4 linked regions of the Sus scrofa genome follow. The protein of the gene in region 2 purifies or fractionates together with the protein of the main gene of each other region. This does not show direct contact. Links are inferred from orthologs where the notes say so. Each region holds a gene or a part of one and is shown on either strand. Other genes may lie near its edges.

Evidence for each region.
Region 1: the proteins of NCBP1 (region 2) and ALYREF purify together in Homo sapiens (affinity purification with western blotting; 6 studies listed by BioGRID and IntAct, with this or other methods). This does not show direct contact. The link is inferred for Sus scrofa from reciprocal best matches to the Homo sapiens genes NCBP1 and ALYREF.
Region 3: the proteins of NCBP1 (region 2) and EIF4G1 purify together in Homo sapiens (affinity purification with western blotting; 3 studies listed by BioGRID and IntAct, with this or other methods). This does not show direct contact. The link is inferred for Sus scrofa from reciprocal best matches to the Homo sapiens genes NCBP1 and EIF4G1.
Region 4: the proteins of NCBP1 (region 2) and XPO1 purify together in Homo sapiens (affinity purification with western blotting; 3 studies listed by BioGRID and IntAct, with this or other methods). This does not show direct contact. The link is inferred for Sus scrofa from reciprocal best matches to the Homo sapiens genes NCBP1 and XPO1.

What each region holds. Positions count from the first base shown.
Region 1 is NC_010454.4:1,097,288-1,103,316, forward strand, and holds ALYREF (THO complex subunit 4), read left to right. Parts: upstream 1-1,951; 5' UTR 1,952-2,074; coding exon 2,075-2,308; intron 2,309-2,736; coding exon 2,737-2,868; intron 2,869-4,336; coding exon 4,337-4,484; intron 4,485-5,037; coding exon 5,038-5,101; intron 5,102-5,197; coding exon 5,198-5,375; intron 5,376-5,461; coding exon 5,462-5,476; 3' UTR 5,477-5,771; downstream 5,772-6,029. Other genes in the region: ANAPC11 (anaphase-promoting complex subunit 11), read right to left, coding at 1,167-1,275. UniProt on the Homo sapiens protein: Functions as an mRNA export adapter; component of the transcription/export (TREX) complex which is thought to couple mRNA transcription, processing and nuclear export, and specifically associates with spliced mRNA and not with unspliced pre-mRNA.
Region 2 is NC_010443.5:239,505,543-239,510,868, reverse strand, and holds part of NCBP1 (nuclear cap-binding protein subunit 1), read right to left. Parts: intron 4,963-5,326; coding exon 4,855-4,962; intron 4,275-4,854; coding exon 4,153-4,274; intron 2,705-4,152; coding exon 2,635-2,704; intron 1,912-2,634; coding exon 1,696-1,911; intron 1-1,695. UniProt on the Homo sapiens protein: Component of the cap-binding complex (CBC), which binds cotranscriptionally to the 5'-cap of pre-mRNAs and is involved in various processes such as pre-mRNA splicing, translation regulation, nonsense-mediated mRNA decay, RNA-mediated gene silencing (RNAi) by microRNAs (miRNAs) and mRNA export.
Region 3 is NC_010455.5:122,201,801-122,207,583, reverse strand, and holds the start of EIF4G1 (eukaryotic translation initiation factor 4 gamma 1), read right to left. Parts: upstream 4,079-5,783; 5' UTR 3,926-4,078; intron 3,474-3,925; exon of another isoform or gene 3,106-3,473; 5' UTR 3,049-3,105; intron 2,832-3,048; 5' UTR 2,798-2,831; coding exon 2,738-2,797; intron 2,502-2,737; exon of another isoform or gene 2,442-2,501; coding exon 2,355-2,441; intron 1,870-2,354; coding exon of another isoform or gene 1,849-1,869; intron 1,304-1,848; coding exon 1,127-1,303; intron 905-1,126; coding exon 805-904; intron 1-804.
Region 4 is NC_010445.4:80,253,263-80,259,093, reverse strand, and holds the start of XPO1 (exportin-1), read right to left. Parts: upstream 4,079-5,831; 5' UTR 3,265-4,078; intron 1-3,264. UniProt on the Homo sapiens protein: Mediates the nuclear export of cellular proteins (cargos) bearing a leucine-rich nuclear export signal (NES) and of RNAs.

The DNA.
Region 1 (6,029 bases), on a different chromosome or scaffold from region 2:
CCCCAAGTTCAGACTCCAAGCCCCCTCTCCGTTGCAGCTGACACACTCGCCCGTCAGCCTGCCCCGCAGCTGGAGTGTGCCACTGGGCGGTGTGCACCGGGTACCACACAGGCTCATCGCCCACTTCGGGCCAAGGGCACAGCCACAAAATTGCTTTCGAGGACTCTTCTCTCCTGAGGCCGTAATCTGCTGCTGAGGAGGTTGCAGATACCCACCCCACCCGTGTGGTACTCTTGGAAAAGGTGGTTTCCTTTCTTTTTTCTCTAGGAAGGGCCAGATCTCCCACTTCTCCTCTCCTTCACGTTCAGGAAAACCCCATCAGGCAGAGCCAGTCAGGGCCTCCTAAGATTGCATCCCGCCTGGCTGACTCACAGGATGGGCTGAGTCCTGGGTGATGAGATTCCCTCTCAGCAGGAAGACGAAGGATTACCACCAGGGTAGAAACACGTGACTCTAAGAAGCAGCACCATTCGGCCTCACATGGCCCCACAAGACAGGCCTGGTCACTCACTGCACCCGAGCAGCTGCTCAGTGGTCCCCAAGCCCCACCTCCCTCTTGGGACCACCCTTGTCCCCTTGGCAAAGCCAGAGACCCTTTCGTCTGTCCCCAAACTAAATTAACTCTTGACCTGAATATAACAACCACTTTCACTTCACCAAACACCCTGGGAAGGAACGAACACGGCAAAAGCGGCAAAAGATGTCTCCTTGCGTTGTGTTGTCTGTGGTGACAGCAGTGGCGAATGACAGAGAGAAGTGAGTGGCAAAAAGCATTACCTCCAGCACTGACTTTAAAACATTTGGACAAAAGCAAATACGGAAACATGTCATTTCCGGTTTGACCTGCTAGATGGGAGAGTGGTTTTATAACATTCCATTCTTTTGTTGGCTTGAGAATAAAGGTCTTCGAATAAAAGATCTTAACACATCTCTCAGTCCCACGTGTTTCACAGTGACTCTCACCTGGACAGGAAGCTGTGCTCTTTTTTCTCACCAAACCTTTGACAGACGTCTCGTGTACAAACATGGGCCCAAACTGACTAGCCTTTCCCCATTAACTTTCTTGGGGAAAGGAAATCAAACGCTGGGGATGCTATGCAGGTATCTCTAAGGACCTGCCAAGGCCAGCAAGCAGTCAAAACTCGAGGGCGGGCAGGGGCACTCACAGTCCGGGCAGCAGCCATTGAAGGCCATCCGGCAGATACCGCAGTTCTCGTCGTTGGCCACCCAGAGCCACGTGGCCACGCCGTTCCAGCACTTGATCTTCACCTTCATGGCGCGGGAGCCTGCGGGAGGGAAGAGACCCCCGGGGTTCCGGTGAGGCTGCTGAGCTACAGCACTTGGGAGCCAAAGAAGAGGTTCCGCCCCGAGCCCTCTAGAGGGTCGGGGAGGGCAGGAGTCGCCTCCGGCAGGGCAGCACAAACTGTCAGCGAGGCGGCTGGGGCAAGGGCCGGGTCCCCGGGAGGACCGGGCGCTCAGCGCATCTCCCAACGCCGCGCTTCTGCCCGGGCGTCCACGGAAGGGGGCGTCGGCTTCCGTTAACCACTGCAAAATCCTGCCGTGTGTACGTCTGAAAGGGACATGACTGTCGAGGTCAGGAGGAGAGCCAAACCCCTCCCTGCAAGACACCCGCGGAAACAAGCCCCCGGCCTGCGCGGCCGCTCCCCCCGCCTCCGCGGACCCGAGCGCGGGTTCGGGGCGGGGGGAGGGGCAGGACCCGGTTAGGACGTGCAAGGAGGGGCAAGGGAGGGGCGGAAGCCCGGCCCCGCCCAACGGCCGCACCCCCACTAACCAAATCACGCGCTGCCCCACCCGCCTTCCGTTGGCGGCGCCGGCGCCCGCGCGGGAAGGTATATAAACGACCGCGGCTGCGGACAGGCACTTCTCAGCGGCGCCCGCCGAAGCCCGGGGTCCAGCGCGCACGCCCCGCCCCGCCCCCCGACGCCGCCGCCGCCTCGCAGCCAATCCGCGGCCGCTCCGAGGACGCAGGCCCGGAAAAGGCCGCGCGGCGCAGGAAGTGACGCGCCGGCGTGCTGACGCGCGGGCTCCAGCCGAGGCCGATTCCGCGCCCGCCATGGCCGACAAAATGGATATGTCTCTGGACGACATCATTAAGCTGAACCGGAGCCAGCGAGGCGGCCGCGGCGGGGGCAGGGGCCGCGGCCGGGCCGGCTCCCAGGGCGGCCGCGGCGGCGGGGCGCAGGCTGCCGCGCGAGTGAGCCGAGGCGGCGGACCCATTCGGAACCGGCCGGCCATCGCCCGCGGCGCGGCGGGCGGCGGCAGGAACCGGCCGGCGCCCTACAGCAGGGTGAGTGCGGAGGCCGGCTGGCGGGCCGCGGCCGGGGGGCGGGCAGGCAGCGCGACGCGGGAGCAGCGGGCGGGCCGGGCCGGGGGGGTGGGGGCGCGGGCGCCGGCCGGGCGGACGGGGGAGGTCGCGCGCCAGCCGGGCCCCGAAGCGAGACCCCACCGGCCTTTGTTTGGGCTGGACGCCGGGCCTCGTGGCGCCGGGGGCCGAGGAGACGTTGGCGCGGCCGCCCTGGCGGCGGGAAGTTAGTTGGAGGGAACCGAGAAGTTGCGGGAAGTGCGGCCCCGCGGGCGGGAAGCGGGGGCTGCGGGCCCCTCTCGGTGCCTTCCTCCCGGGCCGCGATGGGGGAAGGTCTTGTGGCCGTGGGGGCGAGGGCGAGTCCTGGAGCGCGACTTATGGGTCTTTTTCTGTCGCGTTTTCTTTTTCTTTAGCCGAAACAGCTTCCTGACAAATGGCAACACGACCTTTTCGACAGCGGTTTTGGGGGTGGTGCCGGCGTGGAGACCGGTGGGAAACTGTTGGTGTCAAATCTGGATTTTGGCGTGTCCGACGCTGATATTCAGGTAAGAGACTGGAGCTTCTCCTCGGGAGCAGCTCACCCTGTACAGCACTGACTGTGGTGTTTGGGACGGGCCGGGACCCTGAATCCGCACCCACCTTGGGACAGTGAGCCCCTCCCAGGCCCTCGAGGGCTGGCCACCACTGCTCCCTGGAAGGGGCTGCTGGAGTGCATAGCAAAGGCCAAGCTAGAGCTGAAAGTCCAACTGCTGGTTCAGTTTGCGCTGGAAGACAGGCCCGGGTCGGGCCGGGCCGAGGCACCGCGGCTTTGGTAGCTAAGCATCCGCCGTGGGGGTGAGGAGCCTCTGCCTGCCCTTTTCTGGCAAGTGTGGCTGAACGCGTGTGGTTCTGCGTCCCTGAAAGAGCGCGGCTGTCTGCGGCTTTATTTCGTGCCCGTTTTAGTGATGCTTTGGGAGGAGAAAGCCCTTTCTCTGCAGGGCTGACAAAGTGCAGAAGCAGAGTGCTACAGGCATCTCTGGTCCCCTCTGCCTTAAGCCCCGTGGAACTGGGTCCCGGTCTTTCTCTCACCTATGCTCACGCTCTGGGTCTCGTTAGCGGCGCAAGTGTTTATTTAGTCTCGTCTTCGACTCAAGCCTCTTTTCTTTTCCGTTTCTTTTTCTCTTTTTTAAATCCACTCTCCAAGGCACTTGAACTGGTTTTCTCGTGAAGTAATGCCGTTTTGGGGGTCAGTCCTGCAGATGGCTGGGTCCGGGTGAGGGGCCTTCCTGGGTTCGGTCTCCCAGAGCCCAGCCGTTTTACTTAGCCGTGGGGGGACAGAGCAAGGCCAGTGAGCGCTCACAGTGTCTCCACACTTTTTTTAAGGTGGTTTCTGGCATCCACTGGAAACCGCTTTTGGTGAACTCCACTTCCCGCTGTGTGCCTGCGGCCGGAGTAGCCCCACACTCTGGGTTCCCTCTCCAACTCCCAGCCTGCCTGAGGTCAGGGCAGTTTCCATGGCAGCGCTTGACTTCAGACTTTGCGGCAGGCTTGAGTAGGAGGAGAGGGAAAGGTGAGCCCGAATCTGCCCGGGGGAGGGGCTGGGTCAGGGCTCCCGAGTCAGCGGGCCCTTCGAGCTGATCCACCTTGGCTTAGAGCCCCTCGCTCTGTGATCTTGGCCTTTGCAGCTTCTCGGCGCAGTCCTCGGGCGTGTCGTAGGTCTTCCTCTGTAGAAGGCGAGGGCCACTTAATCTCGCGCCCTTCCCCGCGGGCTTTGTGATGCTTTACCTGCACTGTGGTACCTGTGTCAGGTCCCCCGACTGGCAGGAGCCCTCAGGCCCAACGGCTCCTGCCTGGAAGTTGCTGTCCCCCTGCCCCATCCCATCCCCCAGTTCCCGCTACCACTGCCCTGCCCCCCCCACACGTGACGTCTGCCTCCCAGGTAGATACCCCAAAGCAGTGCACACTTCCAGGGAGTGTCCCTGGGCTGCCAGGAAGAAAAGGGCTTCGCTGACGAGTGCTCTTTCGGACTCACAGGAACTCTTTGCTGAGTTTGGAACTCTGAAGAAGGCGGCTGTGCACTATGACCGATCGGGCCGCAGTTTGGGGACCGCTGATGTGCACTTTGAGCGGAAAGCAGACGCCCTGAAAGCTATGAAGCAGTACAACGGCGTACCCCTGGACGGTGCGTACCCCTGGACGGTGCGTGGCCCTGGACGGTGCGTCGGGAGCCGCGCCCAGAAAGGCCTCGGGCGCCAGGAGTGGGGCCGCCTGTGCCTGAGGACACTTGGCCGTCGCCCCTTTTTCTCCCTCTTCCCGTTCTGCCGTCTCACGCTCCCCCGCGCACCTGGACCAGCCTCTCGTGAACCCCCTCCAGCAAGCAAGCCCCAGTCCTCCCCTCCTGCAGCTCCTTGCAGGAGACTCCCTTCTGCGAAGGCCCTTCAGAACCGCCGTAGTCCGCCTCTGAGCGCGGGGCCGTAGTCTAGAGACCAGGGGCCTTTCCACTCGGGAGCCCTTCAGACACCCCCCTGCCCTGGACCCGGGAGGATGCTGCTGGGCTGTGCTCAGCGCGAGCTCGCTCTCCCAGCGGCATCTCCAGGCTGTTGGCCTCGTCGGGAGGGAGCATCGAGATGCCCAGGCCCCTTCCCAGTGCTCGCGTGGAGGCTGGGGCGCGGCGCCCAGCAGGCCGACCGCAGAGCCCTCTAACGGAGCGGGCCCTCTTGTGTTCTCTGCCGCAGGTCGCCCCATGAACATTCAGCTCGTCACCTCACAGATCGACACGCAGCGGAGGCCTGCACAGAGGTGAGTGTGCAGCCTCCGGGCGGGGCTGGCCCTTGGGGTGTCCACTCAGCTCGCAGGCCCCCCCGGGCACGAGAGTGAGTTCCCTCTTCCTGCTAGTGTAAACAGAGGGGGCATGACCAGAAACCGTGGTTCCGGAGGTTTCGGTGGCGGTGGCGGCACCCGGAGAGGCACCCGTGGCGGCAGCCGTGGCAGAGGCAGAGGCACCGGCAGGAGTTCGAAGCAGCAGCTTTCCGCGGAGGAGTTGGACGCCCAGCTGGACGCTTACAACGCCAGGGTAGGTCCCAGAGGAGGACGCGGGGCAGCGGCCCCGGACCTCCTGGGAGGCCCGGTGTGAGCGAGAACCCTCGTCCTCTGTTTCAGATGGACACCAGCTAAGCAGACCGGCAAATCCGTGCGTGGACCAGGACCCAGACGTCGCGTCCGTGCTCCCCGGAGGGGGGGGTGACAGACTGGGGCTGAGTGGCCAGTGATGGATTTGTTTCTTTTATGTTTTAAAATAGGGTTTAAAATTCATGTAAAGGTTTCTTTTTTTTTTCTTTTTCTTTTTTTTTAAATCCTGAAGCAGACCTGTTTTGTACCGAGTTATTTTTGGGATAAATTTTACTGGTTGCAGTTGTGGAGAAGGTGGCGTTTCCACCTTTGCCATAATAAACTAGAAACGTGTGTAGAAGTGGCCCTGCCTGATTCCTCCCGTGCTGGGGTCCTCGCCTGGGCGCCCCCGGGGTCCGGTGGCCGGAGGGGCACGGGCCTGCGGGTTGGAGGTGGTGGCCGCGTCTCTCCTGTCTGTTCCACAGGTCTGAGCTCGTCTCTTTCCCGCCCGGCAGGTGGGAGGCCGTGGAGCAGGGTCTTCCGCCCGCAGCTGCGGCTCGCTGCCTGCACGTCGAGGTGAGGGGCCGGGTGGGGTGGGCACCCTGGCTTTCAGCCTCTC
Region 2 (5,326 bases):
GACAATGCCAATTAAGTACAAATTGTTCGGGGAAGCAAATTTTGAGTTCCCGTTCTAATGTTCTTGCACAACTAAATACCTAACCACAAAGATTCTAGCAGTCTTACTGAAAATTAGGTCTTAAGTTCTATATACCTAATTAGACCATTACATATACGGAATACTGCAAATGGGTAACAAGGTGATGATTTTGTATGTATATATAACTGGATATCCAGTAACTTCTTACTCTGAGATAGAGTATACATATACTATCATTTCACTGGTCATAAGCAAAATTCTGTAGCACAGAAGAGAGAGGATAGGGAAAGAAAACTCAAATTTGACCTTGTGTGGTAATATTGGCTGAATTATGGCCAGCGGCTGAATTATGCCCCTAAGGGGACATCTGGCAATCTCTGGAGACATTTTTGGTTGTCACGACTGATATTTAGCCTCTACTGGTATCCAGAGGGTAGAGCCCAGGGAAGCCGCCAAGCATCCTACAATTCACAGGAAAGCCCCACACAAAGGATTATTCAGACCAAAACATCAACTGCACTGAGGCTGAGAAATTCTGCTCCATGCTGACTGGGATGTACTAGGCAACAGGTATGGTACTTTAGCCAGAGAAGTTTCTATTCAGAACCAATCTAGTGATTACTGTGCTTGCTGCTTGGGTATCAAAGGTATCACTGAAATGCAAAGATATAAAGTAATTAAAACATAGGTAAATTGTAAATTTTTGTACCAAATGTTCATATCAAAATTACACATTTTCTTAACTGCTAAAGTACAATGGCTGAGTAACTTGATGTCATAATAAAGAATATGTATACTTAAGAATTATAAAGTCAGCTCATAGTATCCTTTGGGGTTTTTAAATTAAAAATACTTTATGGGAGTTCCCATTGTGGCTCAGTGGAAACGAACCCGATTAGTATCCATGAGGATGTGGGTTCAATCCCTGGCCTCACTTAGTGGGTTGAGAATCCAGTGTTGCTGTGAGCTGTCGTGTAGGTCACAGATGCGGCTTGGATCCCATGTTGCTGTGGCTGTGGCGCAGGCTGGAAGCTATAGCTCTCATTCTACTCCTAGCCTGGGCTCTCCCATATGCCACCGGTGTGGCCCTAAAAAGACAAAAATACATCCATACATAAAAATACTTTATAATATTTTAAAAATATTATATAATAAGATGAACTGAGGATGAGAGAAAGATGGACAATCTCCAAAATTAGGCATTTTTCTTTAAAAACAGCTAATAAAGAAGATAAAATTACTGAGCATTCATCACATGTCACGTACTGTTCAACGCATTTTGTGTGTGTTAATAATTTAATCCTCATTACAACTTTATGCTATTATTATTTCTTTAGGAAAGTAAGGCTAGAGAGGCAAATAATTCACCCAAGATGACACAGCTAGGATCTGACTAAATCAGGATTAAAACCCAAACCAATCTGGCTCTCAAACCTACACTCTTCAATTACATGCTGTGCTGTCTCTTAATTTACACAGGATAAATATGATTTCTTACATAATGAGGTAACACCATTCACAAAATTAGACTGTTAACTTCACTGCCACTGACTCTCTTAGATAATAAACAACTCAAAATTAAAATGTCCAACCAGCATAATTCAAACAAGATTAAACCACAAGTACAAACAACACAGGCCCTTTGAGAGGTACTTCTGCTGGTCATGTATGTACCTCAGGATCGTCTGTGTAATCAAACATCCTGAAGATGACCCTTGGCATCGGGTACACGGAGTCTTCAGTGTGAGGAGGTGGAGTGAAAGGAGGCAGGTTGTGCTGCAGTGCTTCACACAGAATGCTGTCAAAGGCAAGATAAGGTCTTAGGATGTGTCGCTCCTGCCAGCGATCCTTTTTCAATTTCTGAATCTGGGCCCACAGGCAATCTAAATACTAAAGACAGATTATTTTTAATAATTAATAGATATTTGAAGGCTAGATGAAATCATATTTTGACTAGACAAAACCAAAAATCAACTATTTTCTAAAATACAGGAAACAAAAGGAAGCTAACTTACAGTTAAACATAGTACAAAGAAACAGTGCTAAGTTTCTGTGGTTTTTTTTTTGGCTTTTTAGGGCCGCACCTGCAACATATGGAGGTTCCCAGGCTAACAGTCCAATGGGAGCTGTAGCTGCCAGCCTACACCACAGCCACGGAAATGCAGGATCTGAGCCGCGTCTGTGACCTACACCACAGCTCACGGCAACGATGGATCCTTAACCCACTGAGCAAGGCCAGGGATCGAACTCACAACCTCAAGGTTCCTAGTCGGATTTGTTTCCACTGCACCATGAAGGGAACTCCTAAGTTTCTGTTTTTACTTCAATTACTTTGTAAAGACTGGGGCTGTTACACTTATTTTTTCAAATTGGGCATTCTAACAAAAAATACATCAATTCTATGATATCTGGAATCCCCAGAATAGGGACTGTTAATGACATTCTAGATTTATTAAAAATCCACTATCTGCATATGGCTATGAGGAGCTGAACCCTTGATATGAAATGTGAAAACGTAGCCAAGGTTTCACAAGTGGAAGGACTCGAACATGTCACAGATATTAGAATCTACTCCAACTGTGCTTGTATCATAAGAAACTGAAAACAATTTACCTCTTCTTGTGGATGTGGTTTCTCAGCAGTCCATACCTGTAACATGGGCACATGAGTCTTTTGGCGTCTTCTAAAGATAAAAATGAAAATCTACATTTAGGTTTTTAAAAACATGAAAAGATGTTCAGTTGTTTTCACAATTAATAAAATTCAAATTAAAGGAGTGAAACACTTTAACCTATCAGATTGGCAGATATCAGAATCTTTGATAATGTATTATATTGCCAAAATGTAGGCAAATACAAAGTTTCAAAAACTCAAAAACATTGCTGGTAGAGGGATAATTGATATAATCTCTTAGAAGAGATGTGGAAGAGTCTAATCTCTTTGGAAGGCAATTTGACTACATCTATCAACATTAATATAGTTAAGACACTTCAACCCAGCAATGCCATTTCTAACAACACACATGCCCCACAAACATATGTGCACAAAGACACAGGTACAAGGATACTCACTGAAAACACTGTTTACAATAAGGAAAGACTTGCATAGGCCCCAAAGTCTACCAACAGGAGACAAGTTAAAGAAATTATGGTACATTAAAAGAGGGGAATACTGGAGTTCCTGTTGTGGCTCAGCAGGTTAAGAATCTGACATAGTATCCATGAGAATATGGGTTCAATCCCCAGCCTTGCTCAGTGGGTTAAGGATCCAGCGTTGCCACAAGCGAGGTGTAGGTTGCAAATGTGGCTTGGATCCGATTTGGCTGTGGCTTAGGTCTGCAACTGCAGCTCTGATCTGACCCCTACCCTGGGAACTTCCATGAGAAGCAGGTGTGGTCATAGAAAGGAAAAAAGGCGGGGGGGGGGGGAGTGTAATACTATACAGCTGTTAAAAAGAAGGAGGTAGAACTATATACTTTTATGCGACAAATCCAAACTACACTGGTGTGGGGGAGTACCAAATGTGTACAGAAGAAAAAAAGCAAGTGTGTACACCATATCATTTGTATAAAAAGGGGGAAGGACTTCTTCAAACATTAGGATATTCATACTCTTATTTTCATTCTTTTGCAAACATCTAGATATTATTTTTAAAAAGTAAAACTTTTTTTTTAAAGGCTGCACCTGTGGCATATGGAAGTTCCCAGGCTAGGGGTTGAATCAAAGCTACAGCTGCCAGCCTACGCCACAGCAACGTGGGATCTGAGCTCTATCTGTGACCTACGCTATAGCTCATGGCAATGCCAGATCCTTAACCCACTGAACAAGGCCAGGTATTGAACCCGCATTCTCATGGATACTAGTTGGGTTCTTAAACCACTGAGCCACAACGGGAACTCCTAAAAAAGTAAAATTTAAAAAAATATAAAACATTGAAAAAATCATTTAAAGTTAACAATGTAATGAGAAAGCACATTTTTAACTTTAGACTTACTTTAGCTTTATTTATAACTAAGTAGATATTAACAATACCCAAAGAAGTATCTATTAACAGAAAATGAAACTTGCAATCAAATTATTCTGAAAAAACTTAAGGGGACACAAAACCACTATCATGCTGCTGTGTTCTTACTTGAGATAGCTTTCAGTGTTGGCAAAGATGCGGTCCATCTCGGCATCTTTCTTTTCATACAACTCCTTTCCAACCCAGGGTAAGGACGACAGAAAGGCATACACGTACCAATCCCGCCGCACCTAAAGAATATTTAAAATAGGTACAAGTGAATTTTCATACATAGTATATCTATTCTTCAATGAAATCCTATGGACACTAATTAAAAGGGCTTAAAGAAAATATCTGGCTCATTCAGAGTATTTTTAGATACCTTAGTTTTAATCTTACCAGAATGGATCATTTAACTAAAATACAGATGTCATGAGAACCCACCATTAAGCCAGCTGACCTAATTTTTAGATATTAAGTTTTTTTGCTATAGGTGCAGCATGTGGAAGTTCCCAGGCTAAGGGTCGAATCAGAGCTGCAGCTGCCGGCCTACACCACAGCTCATGGCAACTTCAGATCCTCAACCCACCAAGTGAGGCCAGGGATGGAATCTGAATCCTCATGGATGCTAGTGGGGTTTGTTTCCGCTAAGCCACAATGGGAACTCCTAGATGTTAAGAATTTATAATGTGATAACCTGCCGTGAATCTTTTGGGTTTTTTTAATTACTAAAGGGTGAAAAATTCGTGGTACTGTATGGATAAGATTCCATACTAAAGAGAAAATACCTGGTACTGTATGGACAAGAAGCAGCATAAGGGGTCTTCTTACCTGAGGCACATCTTCTTCCTGAGTAACACTTACAAAATTTTCAAACATAGCAACCATTGATGGAGCAGCAATGACATGACAATTCACAAGATCAGATAAAAAACGGACCTGTTGGGTAAAACAATTTCTATTAAATGTAAATGCCCTTTATAGTAATTATAAAACAAGCAATTGCGTAAAGGTTGAAACCACAGGTCTGAAAAACTATAGCCCAAGGGCCAAATCTAGCCCAATGCCTATTTTTAAGCAGCCTGTGAACTAAGAGTAGTTTTTAGATATTTAAATGCTAGAAAAAGACCCAAAAGAATATTCTGATTCACACAAGTTACAAAAGTAAATTTCAGTGTCCACAAATCAACTTTTACACAGCCATGCTCATCTATTTACATACTATCTGCAGCTGCTTTTATGTTCTAATAGCAGAGCTGAGTAGCTGTGATAGACTACAGGAGGGACAGGAGTCTGTGCATTG
Region 3 (5,783 bases), on a different chromosome or scaffold from region 2:
CCACCCGGACTCTGTCTGTTCCTCTTCTACTCCATAAGGTACCATGTATGCACCCCACCAAAACATACACATACACTCAGAGAGCAGCTACTACTTAACCTGAAACAGAATCAGGTCTTTGGCTGGGAATGATAAAAACATCTGCCAGCCCTGTTCCATTCAACCTGAGTCCAGTTCCAGTCTCCAGCCCTTTGCTAAGGGGCAAGGAAACAAAAAGTCACATTATGAACTGGGCCCAGGATGCGGAAAATTCCTTAAAGCAATGGTCTCCAAAATGAGATGCGTTCTTTAACATCATCCATAGCTTCCAGTTGTTTCTGACAAGCAACATAAGTGTTATTTGTTTAAATGATGCATACATATAAACAAATAGAAACATACCCGTATTAGAGGTACATACTCAAAATTTTTCCTGATGATCAAAAAATTTTGGAAACCACTGCCATAAAGAACAGACTAATCCTTTCCTAGAATATAAATGAAAAACAGCTACAAAAACTTCCCAAATCCATGTTACATGGGCTCCCCCCAAGCATGGAATGAGTGTCACAGGGAATATTTACTCAAAGGCCCTCAAACTGGTGCCTGAACTATACTCCTTGATGTGGGGAGGACTCCCAACTCTCAGCGATACTATAAGACCCTCTCCCGCCACCCCCACACCAATTACATATTAAGCACCAATCCCTACTACCTCTACCATTTTTAGACCAAGAGACAAACCTGGGAAGGGTCTTAGGAATTAGTAAGCAAGTTTAGATGTTCCCTGGGACTCACTCTCACCTAACTCCCTCCCCTGCTTACCGTAGGTCCCAAACTCTGTAGGGTTTGCACCTGGATAGAAGCTTGGGGCTCCCGGCTGCACAGGATACTGCTGTGTCGGGACAACATATGTGGAACGCCCCTGGTGGAGGGGAAAGGGGAGGATGAGAATGAAGGAGTTAAGGGAGCTATGAAGACCATATCAGACTACAAAGAGTATGTAGGACAAGACAGGACAAGCCAACTCTAGGCAATGACCAGAAGGAAGTCCCACCTCTGGAGAAGAGATGGGACTGGAGGGGAGGGGGGAGGGTGGGAGGGTACAAGGTTCTGTGGCTTCCAGCCCCCAAGCCTCCAGCCTCACCTGTCCAGGGATGTAGTAGGCCCCCTGGGAGGCTGGGTAGGAGATCTGGGAAGGGATCATCATTACTTGGGATCCAGCAGGGTAGACATGGGCAGCTGGGCCAGGGCGGGCAGGGGCTGCACTCTGCACTCGGGAGGCTGCACTGCTCGGGGGCTGGGCCCGGCTAGGGTAGAAGTGCTGTCAGGAGGGAGGAAGGCAGTTGGCAATGGGAAGGGGAGGAGGTGGACAGCAAAAGGGCCATTCCACTATGTCTCTAGTCAGGAGAGAAGTACCAGGGGCTTTGGAGCATGAAGACCAACACTTCCAAGACTCACTTGACCAAGTGATGGCTAAGTGGCCTCTTATACTCACATACGCCCTCCAAACTCAGGTATACACTTGGCACTCTGTATATTTACTCCCTCCCTGCCATGCATACTCAGATCACCTCACCAGGCTATCCTTCAGCAGAGGCTTCCTAACACCCAGATGCATCATGCCTAAGTAAAGCCTTTTTCAGCAACATACTCCCCAGCATGCACTGCTCCACCCTAAGGTACTGAGGAGCTCACCGCTAACATGCAACAGTCTCCCAGTTCCCAGATGTGAACTACACAAGATTTAGCCCCTAACATGCATCGGTCAGCCTCAGACTGAGGACCCAGACTGAGTCTAGCCCCTGACTAGGGCAGAGTGTAAGGGTGAGACCCGGAGAGAGTTCAGGATTAGCAATGGGGTATTACCTGCAGAGACCTGAATCCTCCCTGAGAGCACATGGGGACAGGAAAGAAAAGAATTATCCCCAAGGTGATGAGGAGGGAAAGAAAATGAAGGAAGCAGGACAAGAATCCTCTCCCACTTGTGAGGAAGAATTTAGGGAACAGAGAAAGGCAAGAACTAGCTGGAGTGTTTATCTTGCCACAGTCCAAAAGAGAAAGATGGATGGGGAATGGAGCAATGGCAACCTCCCAGTAAAAGAAAACAGGAAAGCAGGAGTTGGCAGCAGGGCCCAAAGCACTGCCCCCAAGGCACCAGGACCCCTAGGAATGCCATCCCCACCAACTACATACTCCAAGGGGCCAGCCACCGTAAGTAATCAACAGTGCAAAGTGCAGAACCGCATGAAAGCAACTGTCAGGAAGTTGGGGCAGGTACAAGGCCTCCATAGTTTCCATCCTAGGCCCAAACTGGCCTAAGCTTCACATGGTTCCCACCCAGGCCCCCTACTCCCCTCCCCACAGCCCCTCACCTGGCGGGGCTGAGAAGGCGTGTTCATTTGTGTCGCTTGAGGCGTACTGAACACCACCGGTGCTGTCTGCCCCGGGGGAAACGCTGGCTGAAGGGGGGAGACCAGAATTCAGCAAGAGGGGAAACCCAGGTGGGGCAGAAACTCAAGCTGGTGAAGTAAGGGGAGCAGAGCTGTGGCAAGAGCCTCAACAGTCCACATATACCCTCCCCAAGACAGCCCCTAAGAACAGCCCCGGGGCCCTGCCTCAATTTGGCAGCAGGAAGCTGCACTTTGCCCTGACACAGAAGGGGGTGGGAAAATCCAGAGGTTGGAACCTGTTCCTGACCCGGCTGCCTGGTCTCCCCCACCCCCACCCCAGTTGCTGCTAATTCCTCCCTAATTACCTGTGGGAGTCCAGGGGATGGGGCAGGTGGGGGGCCTGTGGGCTGTGGAGCTTTGTTCATTTCATTTGGTGCCACATCAGGGTCCCCCCAGCACCTGTTGGGAAAGAGCGGAGCTCGGAAAGGGGAAGGGACCCAAGCTTAAGGCAAATGGAGTGGGGGAGGGATGAAGCAAGGTCTGGGTCCCACAACAAGCCCCGGAATCGCCAAAAAGGTGAAGGAGCATAAAACCCAGCCTATGTCCCCACCGACACCTTGTCAGACCCGCAGCTCCAACCACCCCCCCTGATCTGCTGAAACAGCCCCTCACTCACCCCCTCGGTTAAGAATAAATCCACGGTGCGGCCTACAGGTTCTGGGCATCCGAGGGCCTGGGGTTGGGAGGTGGGGGGTATCAACCTGGCTCCGCGGGGCCCAAGACCAACCAGACCGGAAATTCCAGGTCTCGCTGGCACCAGGCTCCCGGATCACAAACGGAGCTAGCAGCTTCGGCCGTGGTGTCCCCACCCCCCACCCGGGGACACCGGGTTCGGGGCCTGGCCCAGGGGCACACAAGGCACGCCTGCCGCGGGTGGCCGCGGGTGCACCCGCACGGGGCTAGAGGCGAGGCCTGCCGCCGCCCAGGAGTGGAGGCCAGGAAAAGCGGCAGTCGGGCCGTAAAAGGCCAGGCGGGCGGCGGCCGAAGAAGAGCCGGTTTGAAGCAAGTGAGGGTCGGCCTGGAGGGCGGGCGGGGCCGGGGGCTCCTCCCTGCCCGCCGCCGCCGCCTCCCTCCCCTGCGCCCTCCCTGCGCAGCGCCGGCCAGTGCCAAAGAACAACGTGTCACTTCCCGGCGGCCGGGCCGCAAAGGGGGGAGGGGGCGGCGGGCCGGGAGTCGCGGTGCCTGCGCCCGTAGGGCCTCCTCGGGTCGGGCCGAGGTGGCACTTAGCAGCCGGGAAACCCGGCGCCCTCCCAGCCCGCGGGGACCGCATATTCCGGCCCCGCGCTCCCCCACCCCCACCCAGCAGCCAGGCCGGGCCAGGCCGGGCACACGTGGGCCGGGGATCGGGCCCTGGCGGCCCGGGGCCCGGGCTTGGGCCGAGGAGCCAGGGCGCCGGGGAGGCGGCGCAGGGTAGCCGGTCCCGGCCCGGATGGCGGCGGATGCGGGGGGAGGGGATGGGGGGGCCGGGTCGGGCCCGGACATGGCGGCTTTACCTTCAGTCTCCTTCAGTCCGCGCGGCCGAGCCCCACGCAGCCGCACAGACGTAGTCCACAACCATTTCCGGCTCCCCGCACGGATCCCGCTCGGCGGCCACCGCTTCTCCGCAGGCGCAGCCGGCGCCCCCACGTGACCGGCGCAGAGGGCGGAGCCTTGCCCGGTGCCGCGAAGCACATGGGATTTGCCCCGCCTAGTCATGTGACAGCCACTGCCCGCCCCCGTGTCCCCTCCCGAACTTTGGAATTCCCAGACCGATCCCCCTCTGCGACTCAGTTCCGCGATTCTTTAGTTCATTCATACTTTGAGCAGGCATTTATTGAGTGCATACTGAATGCTAGGCTAAGTGCTGGCAGGGGGCTGAGAATACTGAAATTAAAGACTCAGTCCTGCCGAAGTAAATCATGGTACAAATGCGGAAAGAAACACACGTTAGGCAGCCTTTGAAAGTAATGTAGATTAGATCAATAAAAGACTTATTAAACTGAATGTTTATATGTTTAATAAGGATTGAAACATTCTAACTAGGGAATTAGTAAATTTGTCTCTTTTTTTTTTTTTTTGCCACATCTTCCAGCATATGGAAGTCCCCTGACCTCGGATGGAATCCGTGCCACAGTAGCAGCCCGAGCCGCTGCAGTGACAACGTGGGATCTTTAATAAGGGAACTACTAGATTTGTCTTTTATAAAGAATAAAAATCGGCCATTCCCAGGGAGGAACTAAAAGCAATCACACAAACTTCAAATAGTGGTGGAACAAGTAATCCCAAGACCCCTCCCTGCCCAGTAGCCAAAAGATTTTAAACTGCCTGAAGGGACATACTAGAGTCAAATCTACTTACTCCTAGTCAGCCCCAGAATTTAATCCAAACTCTACTACTTACTTATAGGTTGTAAAATGGAACTATTTGGAGTTTCTGTGTGGCTCAGCTGCATTGGCTGGTGTCACTGCTGTGGCACAGGTTTGATCCCTAGCTTAGAAATTAGAAACTGCAGGAAGCCATGGGCATGACAAAAAAAAAAAGGAAATACTTGAAACTAGGCAGTCTAGCTCAAGTTTGAACTTTTACCCACCATTGTGAGGATTTAAAGGAGTTAATTCCTGTGAAAGTGCTTAAAACAGTGCCTAGGTGCCTAGCAAAGGCTATTTCTTCTCTCTCCTCCACATCTGCCCCCTTCTGTATCCAAACACATATAATCTCACAGGAAAACAATTTCTTTGGCACCAATGATGAACTGGTCACTCTGAATATATGACCCTTGTGATCTCAATCCTTACAACTTCTTACAAAATGGATTGTATCATTATTCCCATTGGATGAGTAACTGATGCTCCAAAGAAAGGAGAGCAGAATAGACACATAGAGGAGGAACCATAGAAAAATGAAAGATCTAGAGTGTTCTCTGTGATGCTCTTCATTTGAGTTCTGTGACTTTATCATGTCTGACTGGCTGGCTCCCTTCTCTGGTCTTCTCATTTCTCTTTCTCCCTAAGCAAACTTATAAATAAAAATCAATTACTGCCTACATGCCAATTCGTTCCCAGCTCAGAAATCACTCTTGAACAACAGTCAGAACCAAGGTACTACCAGAGATCCCTTGTGGCAGAGCAGGTTAAGGACCCAGTGGTATCACCTCAGTGGTTTGGGTTGATACTGTGGTAAGAATTTGATCCCTGGCCCAGGAAATTACACATGTGGTGAATAGGCGGGCCTAACCAGGAAATCTGGGATTCACCCCTAAATTCCTTCCCATCCACATGTTACATCATCTCAGCAGATATCAGTTCCTATTGATGTTTGGATCAAAATCAAGTCCTGTTGATTTCATCTTTAAAAATTCTTCTGGGAGTTCCC
Region 4 (5,831 bases), on a different chromosome or scaffold from region 2:
AAAGTGCCTGAGAAATTCTGGTATTATCAAAGAATTTCTACTCAAGTTATTTTACTTCAACTATGTTCTTATAAATATTTTAATGAGTATTTTACAGATTTTACCTAACAACTGAGATAGTAAAAGCAAATAAATGCTGAAGTTACTTAGGTACTCCATAACTGCATTAGTCATTAGGATCCACTTTATTTTTAAACCCCAGAAAAAATTCTACTGTTCTTTACACTGATATGTATACACAAAGTTACCCTAACCCATTTAAAAAATAATTAAAGAATTCATGGCCCTAAAAACTGATACAACTCAGTCTTGATCTCAAATTTTTATACAGATGAAGCTCAAATGGCTGTTTCCCCCCCTTCCTAAGTAGGGTCTTCTATTTCAATAAAAGCTCGCTTTCCCTCATTTCATGTTACCTTTATTTTTAAGATACGAAAATTACATGTGGGTGGTATAAAAGTTTTCCTATATATAGAAGAAATATAGTAAGTACCCTTAACCTCTGCAAAATTCAAGTTTCTGCCCTCAATTAAACCATCTATATTTGTTTCTTTTATCTTTGAATGAATTTGAAGATTAAAATTAAAGTGTACAAACTCCTTGACTATATACAGTCTTAAAAAAACCTTTTTGGTAATACATCAAACAAAACATTTTTTAAATTTCCAGGTATTCACTGGCAAAGCATATGGCTGTAAAAGCTTGCCAACTGTTTCCCAAACAAAAACAAACTTTATCATAAGAGAAAAATGAACTTCTTCACCTCAAATAATGTACTGGCCAAAACCTACTGGGGTTCATATGCAATGTTACCCTTTTAAGAGGACGCAACTCTAATGTGCTGGCACACTTTCACATTTTTGTTGCCCAGTATTATAAAAATCTTTCCTTTTACTTTTTCTTCAAAGCCAGAGCCACTTATGTCTGATTGGCTATATCAGTACTCCTCAACGTTTTTTGGGTCAAGATGCCTCACAATCAGAGGAACAGGATAGCTCTTGCCAAATTAAAAAATTTGAAAACTTTTCATACAACTGCAGATGATTCAGGACACCCTGAAAGCCACGCCTCAGGTTAAGTACCCTTGGTTTACTGTACTTAGATCCAACAAGGTCAGATGGTCATCTCTACTTCTCCCCCACTTAACCTTTCCAGATCAGGAAATGAGTGGTTAATTTGATTACCTTATGTTTGGACAAACTAGCTTGATAGGAAAAGGGCACTATTTCTTGGCTATTTTACTACGGTTTAAAAATATTCTTAAAAATGGCAGTAATTTCAACTCGAATGTCTTAATGATAATGTCAGTTACGACAAAGTAAAAGTCGGAAAGATCAATCAGATAAAATATAAGATATAATGTAAAAATTGAGAAATTAAGAGTTTAAGGACTTTCATTCAAGTTTTTTGATCCATTGACAACAAAACTGATGAGATTTCAAAAATTTCTACCAGCAGTTACTACCTAACATAATCTTTGACCTAAATATTAATACAAAAAAGGAAATATATATTTCACAAATTAAAGCGTTAAATCTCTCCCCTTCAAGTGTCATGTAATTTTAAAGGATCAGAACAATCTTAAAAATTGAGCCTGAAAAGCAATGTCCACGAAGAATCAAGATCTACATATCAAATGTTCTATGGGGGGGAGTTAATTAAAAACTGAACGAACTTTTCTCCTATTTAGTCCTATCATAATGTAATAGCCAAAACAAAAAATAAAGTAACTATAAAAAGTTTCATTTTCAAGTACATTGTCTTTACAGAGTTCAAGACAAATCCTGTGAAAAAGCAGGTTTAGAATAGAAGCTTCTGTTAAATACAGCAGGGTATGCCACCCTTAGAACTAGCGCCTATCTTCGAAATGACCTACCTAGTCTTAAACTGTACGTAGTACAGAAATGGCGGCTTTCTGGTCAATGCCAAGCACATTTAGTCTCCCAAATTAAATAGCTTCCAAAACATTCTTTCCACCAACAGCAGTGTCCAACGCGCTTAAGATACACAATCAAGCAGATAGCAAAACAGCCAAAGCGGGAGGTGAAAGAAACCACAAAAGCTTTCTCCGTTCCTTGGGACACTCAATGCTAAATTCCACTCACTGCACAGCAAATACAAGGTACTGTCCAGCCATGTGGTGACTCTACAAGTGACTACCAAAATACCTTCACAGCCACTTCAAACTGGCAGCTACACACTGCCAGCTCCCATCCAAAAGCCAAAAAATCATAACCGTTGCTTAATGATAACTACATAGTAGGTCAAAAAACAAGTCGCTACAAGGAGAAAGACTGCTACTTTAGGTGTGTGGGCAATTGCCTGCTTCATTCAGTAGAAACACACCTCACTAAGGCCCGCCCTCCCCTCTCTTCCCACCCGAACCGATCCGCAGCACTTCTAACTATAGCATACTGGAGCACGCACTCACCCCGCCCATACTCGGAGGAGGCATTTAGACCAGGCGCCTGAAGTTCACCGCCCCATTCTCAATGCAGCATGGCCTCTGCGTGATCAGAGGTCCGTGCTGGGCAGATCTTTAATGCTTCCTCTAGTACACCGCTTCCTTCCACCCACCCCAAACTCAGACATCGGAATGAAGCAGAATCAGGATATTGTCCACTGTACAGCGCCAGCAGTAAACGTTTTGATCACTTAACACACTCAAGTCCGTGAAAGCAAAACTACAGCATGGAACCTCACCTGCAGATTCCCCCCCCCCAAAAAAACCAAATAACCTTCCCTACTTTTAATCCTACTTTGCAAAAACCCAAAGATTCTGAGTTTCCCTGCAGGAGGAGCAGGCATCAGCCCCTCCCTCCCGCGATCCCAAGCTCTCCACCGAGGGGCCACGTGATGCAGGCGGACGTTTCAATGCTGCTGCACTAAATATTTCTGGAAACTTCCACTCCTAATAATTTCCTGAGATGTTCCTGAAATCACCCTAACTTCTCCCCGGCCCCTTGGGCTGGGGAAGCCCTTCCACTCCCGCGCCGGGCCCCACTTCACTATCACGCTCCTTGCCTTCCTCCACCGCTACCCGCACACGCGAATGACCCAAGCAAGCGCTCCCCTCCCGCGGCCGCCTCCCCGCCTCCATCCCCCAGCGGCAGAAGCGGCTCCATTCAATCGCAGGCTGTGCTGTGGGCCCGCCGCCGCCTCCCCGGCTCGTCTCCCGCGGCCGCCGCCGCGCCCCACACCAGCCTCCTCCCGCCCGGCCGCGCCGCCGCCCGACCCTCGGCCCCGAAGACACAGTCGACTTACCCAGAGATTGAACCAACTGCTTCTTCCTTCCTTGTCGGGGGATTAGGGCGAGGGAAGATGGGGAGGGGGGGAAGAGGGGAGGAAATCAAGGTGGGTTTCACAGTTTCCCCACCTTAAAAAAAGAAATTAAAAAAAAAACGAAGGCGATAAGGGCAAAAAAAAAAAAAAAAGCTCAATATTTACTATCTCAGGGACACCTCCCCCCGACACACACACCCACCCTCCCCCCCAAAAAAAGAAGGGGAATTAATATGTGGAATAAATGCTCCCGCCTGGCTGGGGCGTGAGGGAAGGGGGAGGGGAACCGGGTCAGGTCCCAAAGATTCAGCCCCAGGGGGACCCTCCAGCCACAGGCGGCAGCAGGAGCGGCAGGAGTAGGGGGTGTAGAGTCCACACGGTCGGGGGACGCTCTGCTGCCAGTTACAGTCCGACTCCCCCCTACCAAAATACGGCTCCCTCTCTCACGCGGCTCCGGTGCTGGGCCCCCCCCACCCAGGCTCGCCTAAACTTTCCCCCCTTCTCTTGCTCCTCAGCGACTGGTGGTTCCCCCCTCCCCCTCTGGGTGGTTGCACGGACTGCAGCAGCAAAGACTGGAACAGGCACCGCCGCCGGGGCTGTAGCTACTGTTGCTCTTGCTGATGCTGTAGCTCCCGCTGCTCCTGCCGCGGCCGCTGCAGCCGCTTCTCCCCCTCCTCCTAGTGCCTCAAACTCGGAACCGGTTGAAACCGGTTCAGACTGGGAGATTCCATCTCGGTTGAGTTTTCAGCCCATGGCGCCGCGGAGCGTTTGGAACCTGGGCCTCCGCCCCCAGTCCGCTTGCCCATTGGCCGCTTCCAGCCATAGCCGCGCCATCAGCCTACCTCCTATTGGTCATATCGCCCATCAATCTCTGCTCTAGGCTCCACACGAGCCCGCCGCTTCGGCCCCCGCCTCTTTCCAGCAGCGATTTGCCCGCAGAGTGGGGGAAGGGAAGTGGGGCGGGTCGCAAAGGAGCGAGGAGGGGGGGTGGAAGAGGAGAAGGTGGGACGAAGAGCTAAGCAGAGCAGAGTAGAGAGCGAAGAGAAGCCGCGCGGAAGATTGGTTCGAGAGGTCTGTCAATCAAATATAGCCCGCCCTCAACTTCCCGTCCTCCTCCCTCCGCTCCCCCTCCCAGGGCTTAGCCCGCAGGCCCGGCCTTTCCGGCCCGTTCATTGGCTGGGCGCCTTTGGTGACGAAGCGGGTGGGGCGCAGCTCGTGAGCTGGTGGAGGCGCGAGTTTAAGCGCGGCGCGCGGCCGCCTGCGTCCGCTCGGCTACTCCCGGACTCGCGTTGGTCGGCCCCCGCCGGCTCCCGCCTAGCTGCAGGGCCTTAACCCGCAGTGGTCGGGACCTGTCCCCCACCCATCGGATGGGGGCTGTGCAAAAACTAGGGCACACCCAGTTTTTTTTTAATCGGAGAGGGGCGGGGTGGAAAAAAGGAGCGAAAACAACACAACGGAGGCCAGTCGTAGGCCCCAGACCGGGTTTGGGGCCGAGATGTTGAGAGGTTGGGGTGAGGTATGGGGCACGCTCCCTTGGCGCCTCTTACTCCTCTCCGAGACGTGGGAAAGTTACCTAAGTAGTTCTTGGGCAAGTCTCCTTCAAATTTTAACTCGCCGTCTCCCCAGGTTGGAATTTGGCTGCTTCAACAACCAATTCTTCCTAAAAATTAAGACACTGTAATCCCTGTAATTGGTTTAACATCCTGTGCTTTTTGCTGGGTAAGCTTGAGTGCCAGCTGCCCTTGATCTTCCTTTACCTTCGCTTTTTCCTTTCGGGTAGTTACCCTTCACAAATTTCATCATCACCAAGTAGTATTTTCTATGAAAGTCACACGCACGTGGCCCTTCACATGGTTGTCTCTCTTGTCCGCAAGTGCCCTCCAAGTAAGCTTTACTGATTGTTCTTTGCTGAAGAAACAGCAAGCAGCCCACCAACATTTAGTAGGCCCATTGTGCCACCAAGAGGTTGATAAATGGTTTATTAAATCACAGTTTTCTTCAGCAAATTCTCACTTACAGTGGACAAAGGCTAATACCCAAACACTGCTTAAGAGTAACTCTCTCACCCTCCAATAGGTTTGCCAAAATGATGTTGGATTACTTTGAGACCTAAGATTTTTTATTCATTGCTTAGCTTGAATGGTATCAAACCAAACTGTATTATGTATGTGACGAATACACTGATCATCTGGAATACTTACATCCTATTACAGGACTGTCCTGTTTTTTAAAAAGTTTTTCCTCCACATTTTCAGCTCTTGCACCAGGCCACTGATTTTTTTAGATGCCAGAACAATGAATAAAAATCGACTGGTTTGTAAGACCTGGCTTTGCTGAGAATGTGACCTTGGGCAAGTCTCTTGACCTCTTTGGGCCTCAGTTTCCTTTTCACTCATTAATGAGACTCATATCATCCATGCCTGTCTCATCTGTATAGAGATCAAATGGGTGTGAAAGAGCAGTGTGGCCCATAAAGCACTAAATAGTCCCAGTTTTCTGTCCTCTTCTTTAGCTCTTCTCGTCTTTAAGTCATATCCCCTAGGAGATCA